2 linked regions of the Ovis aries genome follow. The protein of the gene in region 2 interacts with the protein of the main gene of each other region in a pairwise test. Links are inferred from orthologs where the notes say so. Each region holds a gene or a part of one and is shown on either strand. Other genes may lie near its edges. The genes, in order: USP2 and KIFC3.

Region 1 (3,814 bases), on a different chromosome or scaffold from region 2:
GTGCCGCCCCTATCCTGTACCCCTGTTCCGTTTTTTTGGACTAGTCCCCTAAACAGCATTTCTTGCTATGGCACAGCTATTGTTTCTAAAAGACACGTGTCCTAAGAGTAGAAGGGTACATAAAGTAATGAAGATGACAACACCCAGTTCTCCTGCCCAGATGCTTGCCTGTCCTTCTGAATACCCACTCACATCCATCCATCCATCTACCCGCTCACTCCCCCGTCTATCCATTCCCCCATATATCTATTCAACTCCCCCGTCCATCCACCCATTCAACCATCCATGTGATACGCAGGTGAGCCGAATGCTACACTGAGCTAGGTACACAGTGAGGGATCTGGAGATTTGATTTCTTTCTCCTCCTCTGAAAGCTCACCACCTAATGGGTAAACTGATGACTACACAAAAGGAAGATTTGTAGTCAGTGCCCCAGGAGAGGTGTGTCAGGGATCAGATGTGGGTGGGTCATGCCAGCCCTCACTCAGGTCTCCAGCAGAGCCTCTTCCCTTATTTGATCCCAGGCACATTGGAGTAGAAAGAGACTAAAGCCCTAGACAAGAAGTTCTGCACCATTTTCTCCAAAGACACACGAGAACTACTCCTGTCTAGACCCCTGGTCCGCAGCCAGGCAGCATCCGTCAGAGGAGAGATCCTCTTCTCCTGATGTCTTACGTTCCAACGTTAAGCCATGTCTCTGGACTCAGAGATAAAAGCCTGAGCAGGAGGAGAGATGCAGTCAGGGCCAGGGGGCCTCTCTTACCACAGGGCACACTGGTGGTCTGGGGATCTCAGCATGCAGTCCAGGATGGGGCAGGGCCTGCAGGGGCCCCAGGCATGTTGGGTGGGAAAGCAGAGGATAAGAGTCGCAGTGTATGTGAGGGTAGCTGGGCATTTCCAAGAGCACTGCAGGGCCATCGTCGAGTGCACAGGTCGTGAAGTGCATTTCCTGGGGAGAGTGGGAGAGCCCCTGAGCAAAGACATCAAGCCACTAGGGCACCAGGTGTGCTGAGATGACTTCCCTGGTTCGTCCCCACCTGGGCTATAGGAACAGCCACTGTGAGGCCTGGGAAGGAAAACCTCTGTCTGCGATTGTCAAGGTGGAAGCCCTTTCCTCATCAGTGGCTTCCTCCCCAGCCCATCACCAGGTCCCCAAGGGGCAAACTCACCATGGTGTCTCGCCCTGGGGAGCTGGAGCGGCTGGACACAAGGGCCTGGCCCTTGCCCTTCTCCCACAGACTGTAACGGCCACTGGGTCGGTAGGTGGGGCTGAGGACTTCGGGGGCTCGTGAGGGAGGGGTCGGGGTGGGCACCTGAGGTGCGCTGGCCTTGCGCCCATAATTCTCCAGGTAGTCGGCCAGGTACTCGGAGCGGCTGGCTGCCTGGTATAGGCCCTGCAGGGCGCACAGCTCCTTGCGAGTTCGGGCCAGCATGGGGCTGCGGCCCAGGTTCCCAGAGTCCAGCCGGTAGCTATCTGAGGTCCGGAGGCTGGAGAAATCCCGGGCCAGGTCTGATTGACTGTTTGACTTCTTCTGGGTCAGGGTCACCCCCTGGTCGCGGGCACTGACAGGCAGGTAGCTGAGGGAGCTGGTGGTCACTCCATAAGGGAATCCACTGCCCCCACTGAGTCCACTCCCTGAAGGCCGCTCGCTGCCCCGAGTCTGGCTCTCGGCCCGTTTACCACCCCCGATGATGTCAGGTCTCAGCAGGGGGCGGCCTCTGTCATAGTCCAGGATGGAGGGGGGGCCATAGGTACGGGGACGGGTGAGATAGCTGGTAGGGGGGCTGGGCTTGAAACCCAGCTTCTCCTTCTCCAGGAAGGAGGCAGCCAGGTTGGTTCCATAGGAAGAGGGAGTGTAGGTGCCATAGCTCGGTTTGGTGAAAGGCGCATCTGTATAACGGGCCGATTCTGTGTAGCGCTTCAGAGTGGAGGAGAGCTGGGACATCCTTCAGGGCGGCACTCGGTGGGGACTGGGAGCCTCATGGGCTGAAAGACAAGGAAAGCAGTTGTCAGAAGGCCCTGCCGGGGGTCAGGCTGCTCCCACTGTGCCTGCTCTCCATTCCCCAGTGGCTTGACCTCAACCAGGGGCCACACTTGTCTGTTTCCAGGAAAGCCACTGGCCCACCACTGGGACACACCTCTGCATGTGCGTGTGCACCAGTGTGCAGGTCTCCACGCACCCAGGCATTCACACCTCAGGGAGAGCCCCAGAGCTGAGAGGCTTTCATAAACCACACGGGCAATCAGTCTCAGCACAGCTTGGACTAGACGCTCCCCTCAAAGCCCCCAGCCTGAGAGCGGGGACCGCGCCACTGCAGCCCTTCAAGCAACAAATAGTACTCCAGGGACTTCCCCGGTGGTACAGTGGCTAGGACTCCACACCCCCAATGCAAGGGCCCTGGGCTCGATCTCTGGTCTGGGATCTCCCGTGCCCCAACTAACACCTGATGCAGCTGAATAAACAAAAACAAAAAAGCCCCCAAGAGTATTCCAGCCCAAACCCCATCTGCTTCCTCTCCTTGGCTTCTTTCTGCAGGCACCCCTGAGATGAGGGATGCCACCGCCCTCACCCCCTGGATTAAAAACTGCTGGATATTCCAAGAGTTCAGATTGCTCCCCTCTTTGGGAGCAATCTTTTGGGAATCTTACACTGTTTAGACAGCATGACGTGAGGATCATTTAGCCAGATCTCTGATGAGGAACAGGAGGCCCATGAGACGAGGAAAGGGGCCTAGGTGTGGGTGGTGGTGGTGATGGGTGGCTGAGAGGAACGCTTGATCTCAGTCTCCAGACCCAATCCCAGAGTGCTTCCCTGGACATGGCCACCTGCTGCGGTGGGGGATCCTTGTGAGGTAGAGCCCTCCCTCTGCACTGACCTAAGTCTTCGTTTCTAAGTGGAGTTAGGGCCCTGTGGCCTCCCAGGGCTTCCCCTATTAGTACCCACAGCAAACCGATGGTGATAATGACTTGTGCAAAGGGGGCCCCCTAGAGGCTAAAATCCTGCACTGCAGGCAGCGCTCCTATTTCCACCCGCAGTCCTTGCAGCTGGGGTGGATCTGCTGAAGGAACACAGAACCTCTGAATTGAGTTTTCAAAGGCCGAATGGGTCGACTTTTTTTTTTTTTTTTTAGTTTCACGTCATATATATTTTACCACAAGTGAAAGGGGACATTTCCACATCCATCATCCAATTGAACCTTCCCGCGGGCCTAGGGAGTGGACAGCCATGACCACGCTTTACATAGAGGACACCAAAGTGACCGACGTGAAACAGCTACAGCCAGGCCTCACCAAGGGGACATCAGATTTAGGAATCTAGCCCAGATTTCCCCTCTGCTGAAACAAGGGTGATCATCAGTTAGGTGCACTGCACCTGTCACCGGCCCGCACTGTCAAGCTTGCTTTAATTGTTGCTACAAAGGACTTGTAGCAACATCCTCCAACTGTTACTCAGACTAAATAGTAAGGTCTGCCCAAGCTGTTTTTCAGGAACTTGGAGTCAGCTGTGTCCAAGTGCATGCTCTAGCCAATTAAGACTGGTTAGGACATCCACCACCCCCGCCGGGGGCGTATGAGAGTGTCCCCTCGATGAAGGGTCATCCATCTCATGTTCTCCGTTGTACAAGTGGAAAAGTGCCACTGACTCGCCCAGGGCCACATGCTAGCAGAGCGAGGACTCGTGTCCATGTCTCTCAGATTTCCAGCCCAGTGCCCTTCCTGCTTTACCTCAACTCACCACCCCCATCAAGTTTAGGCTCACATGGCGGCCCCCAGAGTCCCTCCACCACTGTAAACCTGCAGGCTTTATCTCTG
Region 2 (2,544 bases):
TGCTGGCTGGCCAGAACAGGTCCCCTGACCCAGAAGTCACCCTGCTTCTCCTCCTGAGGCAGCTTCCTGCTCATTTGGTGCGAGGACCCCACAGAGCCCTGCACATGTTTCCCCAAGGCTGGGACCAGGTGCAGACCAGCACCACTTCCATGGTGGGGAGCCTGGTGGGCATGGCACCAATGGTTGGGAGCTGTAGGCAGAGGGAGGAGGGGGGTGGCACTTACCTATGGCCATTCACCTAAGGGGGCAAGGCCAGGGCAGAGGGCAGGCAGTGGTATAGGGACCACTGTGGCTAGGTTTTTGGCAAGCCTTTGGAGAGCTTGAGTTTCCCGTTTATTAGGTGACGGTGCCAGTACTCGTATGGGTCAGTCATGATAAGGATGGAGGGGAGGACACTGGATCCTGACTTGGGTGACAAGCCAGCACTGGGGAACCACCCACAACATGCCAACAGCCTGCTCCCTGCGTCTGATCAGGGACTCACAAGACCAACTCTTCCAGACAGTGCTTGTGTAAAAAGGTTATTTTAATAAGTAAAAATGGCTAAGCTTCCAAAAGTTCTTAAATAGGATTTCAGAGGGAGGAAAATGTCAAGAGGCTAGTGAGCAGGGAGACAGCCTGGTGCCAGGCAGAAGAGGGGAGCAGCAAGATCCCCACCCACTGGCCTCCTGCCGGCCATAAATAAAGCCCGACCCGCGGCAGGAGCGGGCCTCCTGTGTACATGTAGGAACACTATATACACGCCTGGCGAGATGCTCTACCTCCAGAGAAGAGCAGGACAGGGCTGCCCACCAACCGCCCAGCTCCCACAGTTCCTGTGCCTTCTGGAGGGGCCCTGCGGGCTGGGAAGGGTTGGGCCAGCCCAGGCGAGGGCCCACCCTCCCACACAACACACTTGCCCTCCCCACAAGGGCGCACACTGATGACCTGGGCCTGCCCTTCCAGCTTGTGCCACTTGCACCCAGAGCCACAGCCAAGAGACATGGTTTCCTTCTGAACATGTTTCTCATCTCTTAAGGGGAGACGGGGTCAAAGAGGCGCCTCCACTCTGGCCTCTGCTTTGCAGGCTCCAGACACTGCAGCAGGGACGGGGCAGCCATGCACGGAGACCCAGTCGCTGGTCCCTGGTCCCGCAGGGTGGGCATGTCCATCATACAGGCAATGGCCTGGACTTCCCTATGGGAGGAGGTAGGTTTTGTCAGCACCCGGACTGTCAGCCTCTGTCCTAGAGCAGGAGGCAGCCGGGCAGAAGCACACAGACAGCAGGCAGCGAGCCCCAGACCCAGCCAACTTCCCAGCACAGCCCTGCAACCCGAGGCAGCCAGGCAGGCGGGTGGGCGGGCAGCCCTGGGCTGCTGGCCCCCACACTCACCTGGAGACTCTGCAGCCCCAGCCGTCAGGCTGAAATCAAAGCAACAGGTGTCTCACTGGTAGGCTTGCCTTGGGCTGGGACCCACCCCCCAGGACTCTGCTGCCCACACCCCCTTTAGACTCAAACACTTGGCAGGCCCTTCTGTGAGTGGGCCAAGCTGGGGGCTGGTGCCCCGGATTCTAATCACCCATCCATGGCCTACTTGGGACGCCATGTCTTTCATGAACCCAGCCTCAGAGAATTGCATCCTGGGCCTCACATCAGCGGTCTAGCTTGGAGTCCAGAGGGCTGGCTTCCCCTCCTGACACTCCGTCTCCATGGAGCCTTCAGTTTCCCATCAATAAAATGGACCCAGCACTGTCTGCCCTGACTACCTCCCAGGGCCAAGGAAGGTTGTGAAACTGGTCTGGAGAAGTTTTATAAATTTAAAGCCCACTCCGATAAGGGCAGCCCAGTGGCTGTGATCAGCCTATGGGGGAGGCTCCCCACCCTGGCTCACTCCCTGAAGACTCACCTGAGGGCTGCAGCTTCCTCCTGATAGATCCTGGGCGGCTAGTGGTCCCAGAGCCAGGGGCCGAATGGGCTCGCGCTGAGGGCTGTGGCGTCTGGCAAGCTGACTCCCACTGTGGGCAGAGAAGGGCAGGTGGGCGGGTCCCCCGCCACCCATGTGTTTCCCCTCCCCAGCCACCCAAAAAATGTTTTCTCATCTGCAAAATGGACATGACGATGATACAATAACCATGGGAAGAAGGTGGGAATTAATAAAGAAGTTAACTAGTTACTACTGAGCATCTGTGTGCCAGCCTGCACCTCCCTGCCCCACCTCCAACCAGCTGATGACCCCTAGGTACCTCTGAGGTCAACAAAAATGCCTGGACTGAAGAGACTACTGGGTTTGGGTTCAAGTTCTGACTCCACCCCCTCTGATATGTCCCCCTCTTCCCCACTCCAGGCTGTCCTCCCCGCCACATCCTCCCTCCTGCCCATGACCGGAAGTCTTTGACCCAGCGCCAGCAGGGGTCCCTGTACCTCTAGGTGCTCCTGGCTGGACCATGACCCGAGCTCTGTCCTGCGGGATCCGGGGCCCAGCTCCACAGAGCGCACCCTCTCAGCAAACTTGAGGGAGTAGAGCGTCTCACTGGTGTTCTTCTCCACAGGGGACACCTAGGGGA

The links.
Region 1: the proteins of KIFC3 (region 2) and USP2 interact in binary tests that used the Homo sapiens proteins (3 or more experiments, as listed by UniProt). The two-hybrid records come from large-scale screens. The link is inferred for Ovis aries from reciprocal best matches to the Homo sapiens genes KIFC3 and USP2.

The regions. Positions count from the first base shown.
Region 1 is NC_056068.1:29,661,444-29,665,257, forward strand, and holds part of USP2 (ubiquitin carboxyl-terminal hydrolase 2), read right to left. Parts: intron 1,988-3,814; 5' UTR 1,947-1,987; coding exon 1,170-1,946; intron 950-1,169; coding exon 764-949; intron 1-763. UniProt on the Homo sapiens protein: Hydrolase that deubiquitinates polyubiquitinated target proteins such as MDM2, MDM4 and CCND1. Isoform 1 and isoform 4 possess both ubiquitin-specific peptidase and isopeptidase activities.
Region 2 is NC_056067.1:25,311,929-25,314,472, forward strand, and holds the end of KIFC3 (kinesin-like protein KIFC3), read right to left. Parts: intron 2,537-2,544; coding exon 2,402-2,536; intron 1,996-2,401; coding exon 1,887-1,995; intron 1,402-1,886; coding exon of another isoform or gene 1,397-1,401; exon of another isoform or gene 1,373-1,396; intron 1,177-1,372; coding exon 1,151-1,176; 3' UTR 509-1,150; downstream 1-508. UniProt on the Homo sapiens protein: Minus-end microtubule-dependent motor protein. Involved in apically targeted transport. Required for zonula adherens maintenance.